Linked DNA regions of Sus scrofa. The protein of the gene in region 1 interacts with the protein of each later gene in a pairwise test. Links are inferred from orthologs where the notes say so. Each region holds a gene or a part of one and is shown in the gene's direction. Other genes may lie near its edges.

Region 1 (5,190 bases):
GATTTCTTTTCCCTTTTAAATATGCATTCCCGGAGTTCCCGTCGTGGCGCAGTGGTTAACGAATCCGACTAGGAACCATGAGGTTGCAGGTTTAGTCCCTGCCCTTGCTCAGTGGGTTACCTATCCGGCGTTGCCGTGAGCTGTGGTGTAGGTTGCAGACGCGTCTTGGATCCCGCGTTGCTGTGGCTCTGGCGTAGGCCGGTGGCTCCAGCTCCGATTCAACCCCTAGCCTGGGAACCTCCATATGCCGCGGGAGCGGCCCAAGAAATAGCAACAACAACAACAACAACAATAACAACAACAACAAAAAAAGACCAAAAAATAAATAAATAAATATGCATTCCCTGTTCTTATATTGCTTCTTTTAGTTTCCACTATGTACTCTTACTTGGATGATCACATCCATATTGATGTTACCCCCTACCTCTATGTTGATGTAATGTTCAAGCTTGACCTCTCTCCTGAGCCCAAGAGCATGTTTGAAACTGAATAGCTCTATATAAATGTTCCATGGATACCTTAGTATATAACATTACTAAAACTGAATGGAGAATCTTTTTTTTTTCCTAATTTTTTAGAATTTTTTTGTCTTTTTGCCTTTTCTAGGGCTGCTCCCGCAGCATATGGAGGTGCCCAGGCTAGGGGTCTAATCGGAGCTGTAGCCACTGACCTACGCCAGAGCCACAGCAACGCAGGATCCAAGCCGCATCTGTGGCCTACACCACAGCTCATGGCAATGCCGGATCCTTAACCCACTGAAGGAGGCCAGGGATGGAACCCACAACCTCATGGTTCCTAGTCAGATTTGTTAACCACTGAAGCCACGATGGGAACTCCCTCAGTGGAGAGTCTTAAACTCTATAAACGTGTCCATCCTTATGTAGTATAATCAGTTTAGTTATATGTCCAAGTCATAGACTTGGAGTACTTCTCAGTTTCTTTTCTCTTGTATTCCAGTATCTGTCATACTACTACTCTGATTTCTTTAGTTCACATGTTTTAAAGGAGTTCCCATTGTGGCTTAGCAGGTTAAGAACCTAACTAGTACCCATGAGGATGCAGGTTGAGTCCCTGGCTTTATTCTGTAGGTTCAGGAACCAGTGTTGCCCCAAGCTTGTGGGTGTGGCTTGGATCTGGCATTGCTGTGGTGGTGGTGTAGGTTAGCAGTTGTGGCTCCGATTTGACTCCTGTCCTGGGAACTTCGATATGCTGTGGGTGCGGCCCTAAAAAGAAAAAAAAAAATTTCTCATTTGCTCTGATGGAGTTCCCTACCTCAGCCTCTTCTTTCCTTCATCTTCTATACTAACAGCAGTTAGCTTTATAAAGTGTAAATCTTATTTCTCTTTATTACTAAAAACCTATTAGTAGCTCTACTGTTACCTACTTGGTAAGTCTAAATTGTTTAGTTTGAAGAGTTCCTCCATGATTTAAATTATCTGTAAACCCAGTTTCACCTCCTGAATTTTTCTTGTACCTGAAACTCATGCTGTTCAAGATGGTGTTCATCCCTACATGTCATTTCACCCGATCTGCCGTGTTTCCTCTGCCTGAGGAGAGCTTTCCTCTTAGAAACTTCTTCCTTTCCTTTGAAAAGCTGTTCACTCTCTGTTTTATGTATATCTTTGTTCATCTGTTCTGCTATTACTTGTTTTTGAGTGCTTAGAATTACAGTTTAACATGTTATTCATTCATTTTTTGATGGAAGAATGACTTCAGCCCTAGCTTCATTTTCTTGTTAAGTTCTGAGCTTCGCAGGTTGGGGTTCGACTCAAAGTTTTTTCCTAGCTGTATTCAATAATTTGACTTATTTCTTTTTTAATAATGGTAGAGACTGGATTTATCATTTTAATATATAATAATATTTTATATAATAATATAAAATATTTTAATTTTTAATATATAATAATATTCAGTGCATATAAAACATCTGAAAAAGAACTTTTTTTTTTTTTTTTGGTCTTTTTGTTGTTGTTGTTGTTGCTATTTCTTGGGCCGCTCCCGCGGCATATGGAGGTTCCCAGGCTAGGGGTTGAATCGGAGCTGGAGCCACCAGCCTACGCCAGAACCACAGCAACGCGGGATCCGAGACACATCTGCAACCTACACCACAGCTCAAGGCAACGCTGGATCGTTAACCCACTGAGCAAGGGCAGGGACCGAACCCGCAACCTCATGGTTCCTAGTCGGATTCGTTAACCACTGCGCCACGACGGGAACTCCTGAAAAAGAACTATTAAAGTGAATTGAACAGTTATTTTAAATTTATACTTTGCTTTATTAAGAAATGGTGGTCCCAGAATATTTGAGAATAAATTTACCTCTTTCCAATGCATATAATAAGTCTTAGCTTTTAAAAAGTACTCTATGATGAGTTCATAAACATCTCAAAACATGTGCTATAAGTTAGGATTTTGCATATGAGATTTTCTTGAGTCACTGTACAACAAACAGCAAAGCCTAGTTCTGTCCTAGCCTGAACTGTGATTAAAACAAAAGTTGGTCACATTTATTAGTTAATTCCACGTAATTTTAGAAGCTAGTAATTCTGGTTAGTTGTATGTTTGCCAGCACAAAGTGATCGGAGACATCTCTAATTACTCCATTTAAGTATTAGTTTTCTGCTCCTTTGTTGAAATTGGACAAAAATTGTCTTTGTTTTTCTTCCACTGATGCAACTTGTGAATCACAGTTTCAGATCAGTCTTTTCTTGAGTGACAGTTTATTTGCAATGGAACATGAATCACTCATATTTTAAATGTCTATTAATTTACATTTTATTTTGAAAAATCAGGTTTTTAGGCGTAAGAGATGAGCTACTATATATTTAATATTATAACTGTATTATCATGTCAATCAATTTTTTTTTCTCATGTAGTACAAACAAAATCCTGAAATGTTCAAACAAACAGCTCGACTTTGGGCACATGTGTATGCTGGAGCACCAGTTTCTAGTCCAGAATACACCAAAAAAATAGAAAACTTATGTGCTATGGGCTTTGATAGGGTAAGTACCATAAACGCATGTTAATTTTTATACATTCCTTAATTTTAACTTATTGCTGCAAATCCTTGGCTGACAAAAAAAGTGTCTCAAAAATAATCTGGAGTTTCCATTGTGGCGCGGTGGAAACAAATCCAACTAGTATCCATGAAGGTGCAGTTTTAATCCCTGGCCTCACTCAGTGGGCTAAGGATCCAGCATTGCTGTGGCTGTGGTGTAGGCCAGCAGCTGTAGCTCCTATTCGACCCATAGCCTGAGAACTTCCATATGACTTGGGTGCACCTCTTTAAAAAGAAAAAACCTCTAAATCTAATTTTGATAAACTAACTTTCTGTTAATAAAAGTAGTGACGTTTCTTTTCCTTTTGCTCATTCCTGTCATTGATTTTAGAAGGTTTTTATGCACTGTAAGTACAAGGCAACTTAAAAATGAAAAAAACAAGTGTGATTTCTCAATCGAAAGACAGTGAGTGATGCAGTACTTTAAAAGTATTTTCTTGAAATTTGATTTTTTTTTTTTTTTGTCCCCTTTTCCTTTCTACAGAATGCGGTAATAGTGGCCTTGTCTTCAAAATCATGGGATGTAGAGACTGCAACAGAATTGCTTCTGAGTAACTGAGACATAGAGCTGCTGATATAGTCAAGCTTGCCCCTTCTTGAGGAGCATCAATATCTGTTATTTTTAGGATTCTGCATAGATATCTTTTAAACTGGCATTCTTGCCTAATGATGTTATCTAGGCACCATTGGAGACTGAAAAAAAAATTTCATGCTCTGTAAATAAAGCTAATTAAACGTCTGTGTAAATTTAAAAAGGGGAAATACTTTTTTTCTTACTTAATAGTGTAAAAATTATTTGAGCTAAGCTAAAACCATGGAAAAAACATGCTACTTTAGTGTTTAGCAGTGTACCAAGACTAAGCAAGAATTTGCTTCAGGATTTCATTGAATAATTAAGATAATATTTTGAGTGTGTCAGGGCCATTCAAATTGTTGGTGTTGCATCACAGCTACCTTAACTGTTTTTTAACATGGATCCTCTGTGCCTGTGAATTTACTTGCATGCTTGTACTTGACTTCTTAGGATGGGTAGCTGAAAAGACCACCATTTTAAGCATTTGAGAATTCTTAAATATGCGTTTTATCCAGAATTGAAGATGGTGACCTATTCAGAGCCTTTTTGTCCTTGTCAATAGACTGGGACACCATATCTATTTTTTCCTTCTTAACCACCCACAGCTAATATTCTAATAGTAAATTTTTCTTTATTTGGTGGGGAAATATGCAGAGGGATAGTATCCCTTGCTCCATTTTTAGGATGTCCATTTGGAATGTTCTGTCACAGATCTTCACTCTTAAAACTTTCCTATGTAAGTAAATAATAATGTAAAAATGGAGCTGCCAGTTTTCTTTCTTTTACAAAAACAGTAAGTACTCGATGTTGCAGTATTTCCAGATTTAATGAAAGAACACAACTTAGTTTTTCAGTGAATTTAACATCTTTCTATTTTTAAACTGATGAAATTTTTCTTTGGTAACTTGCAAGGATGAAATCACCTGTTTGCAGTTTTTTTAAGCCTAATTTTGGCTTTATGGAGATTGCTTTATTGGTTACTTTAAAAGTCACCCTTGCTTGCATTTCCCCCTATTTGACACATGAAAGCTGTGTTGGGTGTTTTACTGTACATACTTCAAATGCACATAGGAATAGAAGTGTGTTATAAATCTAGCTTTCTTTATGATGTTTCTGATAATATTGAGAATTGAAAACTTTACCTTCTCTTGTACATAGTCAGACTTTCTATACGTATTAAAGTTACATTTCATTCTAAGTTCAAAAGTTTGAAAATTATTAGTTTTGCAAGCTCAAACACTAATGTGACCATTTTATGAAGGGTGAAATGGATTTGTGTAGACAGTTCTAAACATAGAAATACAGTTACTAAATATTCAGGACCAATGCGAAATAACAAGAATGTAATGGAATTAGAATGAATTAAAGTAAGGTTGTATATTGAAAGTCATATTATAAAAGGTTTGCTTTTTTCAAGTGTTATTTATCTGAAATTATAATGGTTAAGTGTTTGGAAACAAGTTTTGAACCATAAATTCAGCATAATTTCATTTGACTTCTCATTAATCTTAGAAGCAATAAAAGAACCATTATTAAATATGTTGTAATGTTAAGAT
Region 2 (5,570 bases), on another chromosome or scaffold:
ACGTGTGCTAAGCACCCCACAGCTAACAGTTCAAAAATCCCACAGCTCTTCTCCAAGGATGCGTGTCATTATCAGCAATTTACAGTAAGTTCCCTGCCAGTCCAGGGAGCTGCGCTAAGTTACCCAAGTCATGTGACTACTAATTGAAAAAGACAATCTTGGAACACATTTTGCCAACACCAGAAACCACATAATGCCTTCCAAAGCCAGGGAGCGCGGTCCTCTTCCTCCCCCAGTTCTCCATGACAGGAGCTATTGGTGTTTGCAGAGGTTAAGTCCCCACTGTGCTCTCTGCCTGGTGTGCTGTGGAGTGTGTCCCGTCCAGGCCCCCGGAAACACTCTAGGCCAGTAGGGAATCGCCCCCCCCACTCCCACCCTCTGCCATTACTAGGACCATCTGAATGGTTCCCACACTTCCCCATGGGTGGGGACGGGGGGGGGGAAGGGGGCAGTCTCCACTGAGAACCACTGATGCGTGTTCTTATTGATGGCGGCAGGTGTTTGGTTTTGGATTTTGCAAGTTTCTGGTTATCGAGACCAAAGTTGGTTTTCTCTCCCCATTCCTAGGGTACCTGTTAGAGAAAAGCAATCCTACACCGATGGAAACTTTGGAGCCTGAGTAAGCCCTTCAGGTAGGAGCCCAGCCTCTGAGCACTGGTGGCTTCAGGTGGTGTAGTCAGGAAAGCTGGAGTCCAAACGCACAGATAGGAATGCACTGAACTGACACCGCATAGGAAGGATGGTGAGCAACTGTACAAGGACTTCCCAACACACAGCATCACCCTCCCTGACTGGAGTTAGGTGGGGATGAAGAGCTGCTCTCAGTTCCAGCCTGGGTTGGAGGGGTATAGGGACAGAGCAGAAAAAGAGGTTTAGAGGGAGTTCCCATTGTGGTTCAGCGGGTAACAAACTGACTAGTATCCATGAGGATGCGGATTCAATCCCTGGCCTCGATCAGGGGATCCAGCATTGCTGTGAGCTGTGGTGTAGGTCTCAGATTAGGCTTGGATCTGGCATTGCTGTGGCTGTGATGTAGGCAGCTCTGATTCGACCCCAAATGCCGCAGATGCGGCCCTAAAAAGAAATAAAAAGAAAAGAGGGACTTAGAGAGACTGTTAAGAGGGCCTGGGAGTTGGGAGAGGAAGAAGGGCAGTGGAGTTGAATGTTCTTGAAGGTTTCAGATGCTAAGAGCTAGGACAGCATGGGCATATGGGGGTGGAGATAGCAGGCATTTCATCCATCTCCCCTCCCCCTTCCCAGAGTGGGACACCCCCGCCCCAGGAAATACTGTGCCATTCAATCAGTTTACCCCTAACTTGTTCGGGTGTACTTTTGTTACCAAACCAGGTTTGTTTGCCTGATGCGCAGCAAGCCAAATACTGAGATGCTGAGGTTTGAAGCAGAGAAGGTTTATTCACAAAGCCGCCAAGGGAGGAGGTGGGAGACCCACTCCTTGAAGGAAAGAGCCTCAATTTTCTTCTGAGATAATGAAACAAGGTGGCCTGAGGCATGGGAAAGGCGGAGTCCCCTTCCCCTCTGTTTGGGCAGGTGGATCCAGGTTACAGTCTTCTTTGTGGATACACTTTCAAAAATGAAGCTGCTTAGCATAATCTGAGGGTATCATTTTGAACCTCTGATGCGAAAAGTTGTTCATCAGACTCCTGCACAAGCCCAGTTTTAGCACTGCTGGTCCCAACCTGCCTTAGCCAGCCGGAACAGGACAAGAGCTGACACCAAGTTCCTAAAAAGCAACTTAAGCCCCCACTACCAAAGTAACCCATATGTCAGGAGTTCCCAACGTGGCTCAGTAGAAACGAATCTGACTAGCATCCAAGAGGATGCAGGTTCGATCTCTGACCTTGCCCGGTGGGTTAAGGATCCAGTGTTGCTGTGAGCTGTGGCATAGGTTGCAACTTCGGCTTGGATCCCACGTTGGTGTTGGGTGGCTGTGGTGCAGGCCAGCAGCTGTAGCTCTGATTTGACCCCTAGTCTGAGAACCTCCATATATGCCTTGGGAGTGGCCTTAAAAAGACCAAAAAAGTGACCCGTATGTCAGAGGTTTGATCTATCGCTGGTTAATGCTCGTGATATATTACATAGGCTACATGAAGCTTGGAGAGTATGCAATTAAAGAGAGGGAAAAGATAACTAAAATGAACTTAATAAGTAAAGGCAGTTTATATGCAGAGGGATTTTAACAAGCTGTACCCTTAAACATTGAGGTAAGACAAGCTCAAAAATTTCTGTTAGTCCGTGGCTTCAGGCCATGGACAATGATTGCTGCCTTGCTCCCATCGACCTCTTTTTTTCTCCTCTCCTTCTCCTTAAAGATGACAGAAACGCTAAACCACTACCGCCAAAGCTCAAACTATCACCTTCACTGCCCAACCTGTTCCGGAGCCGAAGCCGGGCCTCTATTGCCTCATTTGTTTTCTATTCAAACGAAGACAGCTCTGAAGACCCGGGAAGCCCTGGAGCTGCGTGGACTGAAGAGCTCAAGGCGGCGCTGAGTGAGTGGCTGAGAGCAATCAAGAGTCCCTGACTGCGTGGAGTGGGGCTGAGGGAGTGGAAGGTGGGAGAGAGGCCCCGGGCTACTGAGAACAGAGACGGGTGATGGTGGTGACACTTGGAGAAGGGAGCGGGTGTACTTGAGCAGAAAAAGGGCAATCGGGTAGCGTCAGCGCGTGGCTTCTGCTTATTGCTTTGGCTCTGGTGCCCCTTGTGGATGAAGAGTGTCACTACAGTTGATTGCTCAGGTCTTTTTTTTTTTTTTTTTTTTTAATTTAAATTATTTACCTAGGCATCAGTTCAGTCAGATTGGAATCTAAGAGACCAGTAAGAACTGCTTAGGTCACAATCTACCTTACTCATCCCCATGTACCTAGACACTCTTTCTCCTCTTCCCCACATTCCTACATCCTCCATCCCTCCCAATCCCCACCCTCCTTCCAGCAAGGGAAAACTAAGTAATATTACAGTACAAGGGTGTGAGATTAGATAGCAAATCAGGAGATACCATGAGTCTCTCGTTCCTAAGTCCGTGGCAAAGTCTGGAACCACGGCTATTCAAGCCATTGCGGGGGGGTGGGGGGTGGATGGAGGACTTCTGGCCTTGATAACCTATAACTCAATGATAACTCAATGTCCAAATTCAATGAAAATTGTGCCTGTGTGGTGAGATGAGAGCTAACTTTCTCCCTCCGTACCCCACCCCTCCATTCATCCCTGTCTTTGAGGGGCTGCACTTTAGAAAATTACTCCAGCACAGTCTGAGCCTTGACATCTTTTATATAAGTTCAGATCTTGTTCTGGATATGAGGACCACAGGAGATGGGGAAGGAAGAGGAAATAGTCTTGCTTTGGGTGTAGAAATGATGCCTTGTGACCAGCAGTGGAGAGCACCCACAGAGCAGCACATGATGAAATTTAAGGATTAACTTCAAGGAGGGGGAAGGGGCTAGGACTTCTCTGGGGACAAAGAGGACCTTGACTTTGAAGAGAAAGTCATCCTCAGGGGAAACTAAGAGGTAGGGGTCTGGAGGACTTGACCTGGGGCTAGCACCCCGGAAAGAGGCTACCACCCTCCTCATCTTCCCGCAGCCCCAGTGACCCTGGATGCGGCCTCGGCTCATCCGGACCTCATCATTTCCCAGGATCTGAAGACAGTGACGCTGGACCCTGTTCCTCAAAGTCGCTGTGCTGAACCCACTGACCCTGCTCGCTTCCATCCATTCCGCTGTGTTCTGGGCTTGCCAGGCCTCTCCTCGGGCTGCCAGACCTGGGAGGCGGAGCTTGAAGGGCCTGAAGGCGGGGGCTGCTTGGTGGGCGTGGCCTCGGAGCTGGTAACGCGGAGGGGCCCCCTGATGATCGAACCCTTGACTGGCTTCTGGGTGCTGCGCATTGTGGGTTTCGACTGCCAGGCGCTCACCGAGGGTGGCACCCGGGAGGAACTCTCAGTCCGTCCCAGGAAAGTGGGGATCCACGTGAATCACGAGGGCGGAGAAGTCGTCTTCTACGACTCCATCACAAGCAGCCGCATCTACACCTTCCACACCTCCTTTCCAGGGCAGGTCTTACCCTTTTTCCGGCTTCTTTTTCCGGGCACCCAGATCACCCTGAGTCCCTAGAGTTCTTTTGCCTTCCTCTCGGTCTCCTCCCCGTTACCCCCTCGCTTTGGGATGCGCTGTAGCTGGTATGTAGGGTTGAAGCTAGACTTCCAGGAGCCCTTTGCATACTTCATGCTCCCTAATCCAGGCCTGTTGCCTCTGATCCCGCTTTAAATTTTCCTTTGGTCTTTCAGTCCCCCTTTCCCCCCAACATGCCTAGGTTGAAAAGAAAGTTTCAAATACACGACAAAACTCCACACAAGACTATTTATTGTAGCACTTTTGTAACAGGACAAGACTGCAAACAACTCAAATGTAAGTCACTAGGGGATGGTTGAAAACTGCACAGAGAAAGCATCCAGCTGCATCCTGGTTGAGATGCAGATACAGGGGACGGGACAACTGACTTTGGGGCAGCTGTCTCCTCCTCCACTTCATTCCCAGAAGCTCCTGGGTGTGTGTATGGGCTTGGCCCATCTGGGCATTATCGTGGGATCTGAAAAACGGGATGCCGATGGCCAAAAACCACGGAAAGATGCTTGACATCACTAATTATTAGAGAAATGCAAGTCAAAGCTACAATGAGGTACCACCTCACACCAGTCAGAGTGGCCATCATCAAAAAGTCTACAAACAATAAATGCTGGAGAAAAGGGGACCCTTTACACTGTTGGTGGGAATGTAAACTGGTGCATCTACTATGAATAGCAGTATGGAGGTTCCTTAAAGAAACAAACTATAAAACTACCAAATGACCCTGCAATCCCACTCCTGGCATATATCATGCTGGACCATGGATATTGTCTCCCCAGGCAGTTCAGCCTGGCCTGCCCTCTTGCCTTCTACCCACTTTGCAAATGAAGACTCTCTATGTATTATTACAGGATGATGTCTAGGACATAAGTGAAAAAAGCAAGGTAGACAGCAGTGCCCACAGTATGCTACATTTTACCTAAGAAAAGGGAAATGTACATATACCTTTTTTGCCTATACTTGTTTTTTAAGTAGGAGGATAAACCAAAACCTAACAAAAACAGTTACCCAAGGGGAGAAAGGAAAACCGGGTGGAAGGAATGAGAGTCTTTTATTTTTTTATCTTTTTTTGCTTTTTTCGAGGGGGGGGCACACCCCTGTAAGTTCCCAGGCTAGCGGTCTAATCAGAGCGGATGTGAGCCGCATCTGCCACAGCTCAAGGCAACGCTGGATCCTTAACCCACTGAGAAGGCCAGGGATCAAATCCACATCCTCATGGATCCTAGCCAGGTTCTTTAACTGCTGAGCTGTGAAGGGAACTCCTAATCTTTTCTACATGTACCTTGTTTTGTATATTTGGCTTTGGAATCATGTAAATATTTTTATATTGTTATCAAACAAAATTAAATTAAGACAAAAAAATGAAATGGTATATGTAGTTGGTAGCTTAAATACTCTGTAGCTGGGAACTCCTTAGAGAAAATTTATTTT
Region 3 (5,004 bases), on another chromosome or scaffold:
TTATGATAGAATCCTGTGGTACTTTTGTTTCTCCTTGAACTTTAGTCCTTTAGTGACAGTGATCTTTCCGATAGAATAATTACAGTTAGGGAAAATATGAAATCTGAAGAGTTAAATTTTAGTTTGATAGAAATATGGCTTAGGGTTCTTGGGAATATACTCTTAAGGACGTCCGTAGACTGATCTTTTGTCATCCCCAAGAAAATGGCCTACCGTATCCCAGCAAAGGTAGATTCCTGGGAAAAGCTGCTAGTTTATCTTTCATTCACCCTGACACATAGTTAACATTGTTGATCATTTCTTCCAGATGGCATTTATTTCATAAATAGTGTTTATTGGTGTGCTGATGAATGCTTCAGCAACACTGGTGAACTTTAGGGTACGAGGCATTCTTTACCTGTTGACTCTATCCCTCACCTCCACTGTTGTGTGAGTCTCTCTGGTGCTTTTGATCTTTATTTTCTTGACTCTCCTTCACCTTTGCAAATTATACTGGTTTATATTGTAGAATGGAAGTAGAATGATTTACTGTGTCTAAATACTGGACTCAGAACTTTTATGAGAGGATGGCCCTCCATTTCTCTTCTACTTTCTCACTTTTGAAGGGGGCATGGATCAGTAGGAAACAAGATTAATTCCTAGCTGGTGTTAACTTTCCATGAAGATGGATGATGAAGAGGAGGTGGATGGTGGGATGGCAGCAGACCCTTCCCCTTGTCGCCCCTTTCATTCCCCAAATTACTCCTAGAGCAGGTAACCGTTCATCATTAGGAGGAATTAATCAAAGTCAGTACCCTGGTGATCCTTTGGATCACATGTAACTCCCTGGAGCACATGTAACAGCTGACTCAGAATGAGTAGGGGAGGTGGGGGAGAAAGTCCAGTCAAAACTGATTTTATTGCACTTAAGCTCCTTCTTGTTTATGGTCCAGTTTCTATTTTAGCATTTATTCCACGTAGTCCATCCAAGTATGATTTTTAACATTTTTTTTTTTTATTTTTTTTTATTTTTTTGTCTTTTTGTCTGTTGTTGTTGTTGTTGCTATTTCTTGGGCCGCTCCCGCGGCATATGGAGGTTCCCAGGCCAGGGGTTGAATCGGAGCTGTAGCCACCGGCCTACACCAGAGCCACAGCAACGCGGGATCCGAGCCGCGTCTGCAACCTACACCACAGCTCACGGCAACGCCGGATCATTAACCCACTGAGCAAGGGCAGGGACCGAACCCGCGACCTCATGGTTCCTAGTCGGATTCGTCAACCACTGCGCCACGACGGGAACTCCCTTTAACATTTTTTAGAGAAAAGGAATTCTAAATGTGCTCTGGAACCTTTTGAGAAGAGTACAACTCACGTATTTGTGTCAATTTATGTTTTTTTTTTAAAAGCCTTCTTTATTTCCCTGTATTCTCTTGCTCACAGTAAATTTTGCATGAACGCTAAAGTATTGCAGGCACGTAAACAGTATTTATATACAAGTTGTAATTGTTTTTCTCCTGCCTCCTTTTATTTTTACATTTTTTTATTACAGAAATGAGCCGTCAGACTGCAACAGCATTACCTACTGGAACCTCAAAGTGTACACCGTCCCAGAGGGTGCCTGCGCTGACTGGCACAACCGCGTCCAACAATGACTTGGCGAGTCTTTTTGAGTGTCCGGTCTGCTTTGACTATGTGTTACCACCCATTCTTCAGTGTCAGAGTGGCCATCTTGTTTGTAGCAACTGTCGCCCAAAGCTCACATGTTGTCCAACTTGCCGGGGCCCGTTGGGATCCATTCGCAACTTGGCTATGGAGAAAGTGGCCAATTCAGTACTTTTCCCTTGTAAATATGCCTCTTCTGGATGTGAAATAACTCTGCCGCACACAGAAAAAGCAGACCATGAAGAGCTCTGTGAGTTTAGGCCTTATTCCTGTCCGTGCCCTGGTGCTTCCTGTAAATGGCAAGGCTCTTTGGATGCTGTAATGCCGCATCTGATGCATCAGCATAAGTCCATTACAACCCTACAGGGAGAGGATATAGTTTTCCTTGCTACAGACATTAATCTTCCTGGTGCTGTTGACTGGGTGATGATGCAGTCCTGTTTTGGCTTTCACTTCATGTTAGTTTTGGAGAAACAGGAAAAATACGATGGTCACCAGCAATTCTTTGCAATTGTACAGCTGATAGGAACACGCAAGCAAGCTGAAAATTTTGCTTATCGACTTGAGCTAAATGGTCATAGGCGGCGATTGACTTGGGAAGCCACTCCTCGATCTATTCATGAGGGAATTGCAACAGCCATTATGAATAGTGACTGCTTAGTCTTTGACACCAGCATTGCACAGCTTTTTGCAGAAAATGGCAATTTAGGCATCAATGTAACTATTTCCATGTGTTGAAATGGCAATCAAACATCTTCTGGCCAGTGTTTAAAACCGTTGCATTCAGTTTCACAGAGAATAAGGCACCCATCTGCCTACCAAGCTGAAACTTTTGGTAGGTGGAGGCCAAACACATGAAGGTAAATAAAAGGAAAGGCTGTTAAATACAGGAAACAGTTGCATGTAGTAACACTAATATATTTAAAAATAAGTCAACAGTAAACCACTGAAAAAATATATATATATACACCCAAGATGGGCATCTTTTGTATTAAGAAAGGAAGCATTGTAAAATAATTCTGGGAATTTGTGTTTGTTGTAGATTGAGTGTACTGTTGGAAAATACTGAGTTGTGTTTTTTTTTTTTTGCGCGCGCATGCGCGAGCGTATGTGTGTGTGTGAGAGAGAGAGAGAGAGAGAGAGAGAGAGAGAGAGAGAGAGAGAATGAGTGTGTCTGTGAGTTTTTTTTTTTTTTTTTTTTTTCCTTTAACTGACAAGCCATGTTGAGTGGTCTTGGACCACTGCTTTTCCCCTATGTGAGTCAATACATAGTGCTGCTGTGTGTGTATATTTTTGTGTGTGTATTTGCTAATTTTTATTAATTCTAGTTTTTCATTAAATAAATTTGACTTTCTTTTCTGTAATTCAGGTTTTTCCTCACTTTTTTTTGGTACCTTTTTAAAGTTAGTGTCTTTTTGATATGCATAATTGTTTATGGTAAAGTTTATACATACATATGTGTTCAATACATATTTTCCCCCATTAATCAGTTCATTAGAAATATTTTAAATTCAACCATTTTGTGAAGATATGAGCTCCAGAAAGGAAAGGTGACACCTGAAGAATTATCAGAAGCTATTTAAAGCAACTGTAAGATGGTTTTTCTCTCTTTTTCTCCAGTTGAGTCATACCTTCAAACTACTCTTTGAAAGGTTAGGGAATACTGATTTTTTTAAATACTGGAAGAAAAATCAGGCTCACCCCCTCCCCCCCAAATATCTTGGACAAATCACATATGTTTAAAATTCGTTCTTGTATTTATTGGTTTTGCAAAAGAAGGCATCGTCTTACACAGTATTTGTAATTAAAAGCAAATCATTTGTTTTAAAAAAAAGGCAGTTTGCAAAAAAAAATGTTTTTGGTCTTTTATAATTCTCATTAAAAGAATATCTGGCAAATTAAAAAACTCTTATGTGTCTGCTTTTAGCTCTATTAGAGTTTGATTAAAATCCAAAGTTATTTTCCTGTTCAAAGCAATGTGCTGTATTTTGAAGTTTGGTAGATAAGAGATCTGTTTTAAAGTCCAGCCAAAACAAAGGGTATATGGCCTCTGTACCACATGGAGTCTTATTTTTTTCCTTCCCCTTGCTTACATTTTGATTCTCAGAACTCAGTTAGGAGGCTGGTTAGTTAAATTGCTATCACTTTTTCCCCCTTTAACAACACCAAGAAAAAAATTATTTCATGCTGTAGTGGTTGTGTGCCTGGGCTCTGCAGCCAGCCTTCCAGGGAGCTATGTGCTTATGCTAACTAGACCTCACTTGGGCTCCAGTTGCCTAGTGTATAGAATGGGGTTGATTATGGTAGCTACTGCTCAGGGTTCATTGGGGGTGGATGCAAGTTACCTAGAAGAGTGCTCTGCATGTAATAAGCACCCAGCAAATGTTAGCTGCCATTATTATACCTGTAACTAGCACCAAAGAGTTAACTATTGCTCGTTACCCTGAAGCACCTAGTAAGACTCTGAAATTGCCTTCTGACTGGCCAGAGATCATTTTATTTCGTGTGGTTTTTATGGGTACCCTAAACATAGAAAGTCAGTTAAAACTAATTTGGACTTCCCCCTTACCCTGCTACCAATTCTGGATAACACGGTTTACTTCTGTTAACCATTTTCAGGAAAGAAGTTTGTTAGTTTCTTTTCTTTTCCTTAATGCAGGCATTATTTTTGGAATTGGTTATAATTTGTGTTTGCATGGCTATTTTTGTGGTGAAAGGAACAGGTCAACCACCAGTATATGTCCAGGTCTATTGCTGTTAACACGTGTTTTTTAGAAAAGCAGTTTTTCCTCATTTAATATACTGAATATTTTTTGTGGAGGTATACCATTTTTAAAATACAAAATGTTTGGTTAAAAGTGTAGGGTATTCAGTATGTGTTCAGCACTATGTATGTTCAGTATATAGACTCTGGCACACAGAATAGTTGGTAATCTTACTCAGAGATTACTATGAACATTTTCATTTTTCTAGTCCTTTATGTGTACTCACGTGTTGATACACATTTATTTTGAAATCATAGAATGTGGGATCATGTGATTATTTAACTCCCTTACACTCCCACACATAACATGATCATCTAAGCATTTCACCACTTTAATAATTTTGGAAAAGTATCATTTTGGATAACTTTGAGGATTGACTATAATTGTAGCCAGTTTCCCAATATTGGATATTTGCTTTGTTCGATTTGTCCAGTTAATTTTTTTTTTTTTGTCTTTTTTAGGGCTGTACCCGTGGCATATGGAGGTTCTCAGGATAGGGGTCAAATCAGAGCTACAACTGCTGGCCTACACCACAGCCACAGCCATGCCAGATCTGAACCGACTCACACCACAGCTCACGGCAGTGCCAGCTCCTTAA

Evidence for each region. The genes of interacting proteins can lie anywhere in the genome.
Region 2: the proteins of UBE2K (region 1) and TRIM31 interact in binary tests that used the Homo sapiens proteins (3 or more experiments, as listed by UniProt). The link is inferred for Sus scrofa from reciprocal best matches to the Homo sapiens genes UBE2K and TRIM31.
Region 3: the proteins of UBE2K (region 1) and SIAH1 interact in binary tests that used the Homo sapiens proteins (3 or more experiments, as listed by UniProt). The link is inferred for Sus scrofa from reciprocal best matches to the Homo sapiens genes UBE2K and SIAH1.

What each region holds. Positions count from the first base shown.
Region 1 is NC_010450.4:30,955,696-30,960,885, forward strand, and holds the end of UBE2K (ubiquitin-conjugating enzyme E2 K), read left to right. Parts: intron 1-2,875; coding exon 2,876-3,004; intron 3,005-3,544; coding exon 3,545-3,619; downstream 3,620-5,190. UniProt on the Homo sapiens protein: Accepts ubiquitin from the E1 complex and catalyzes its covalent attachment to other proteins. In vitro, in the presence or in the absence of BRCA1-BARD1 E3 ubiquitin-protein ligase complex, catalyzes the synthesis of 'Lys-48'-linked polyubiquitin chains.
Region 2 is NC_010449.5:22,666,984-22,672,553, reverse strand, and holds part of TRIM31 (E3 ubiquitin-protein ligase TRIM31), read left to right. Parts: intron 1-567; coding exon 568-619; intron 620-621; coding exon of another isoform or gene 622-632; intron 633-1,710; coding exon 1,711-1,772; intron 1,773-2,330; coding exon 2,331-2,510; intron 2,511-3,600; coding exon 3,601-4,127; 3' UTR 4,128-5,570.
Region 3 is NC_010448.4:36,362,238-36,367,241, forward strand, and holds the end of SIAH1 (E3 ubiquitin-protein ligase SIAH1), read left to right. Parts: intron 1-605; exon of another isoform or gene 606-668; coding exon of another isoform or gene 669-753; intron 754-1,528; coding exon 1,529-2,379; 3' UTR 2,380-3,547; downstream 3,548-5,004. UniProt on the Homo sapiens protein: E3 ubiquitin-protein ligase that mediates ubiquitination and subsequent proteasomal degradation of target proteins.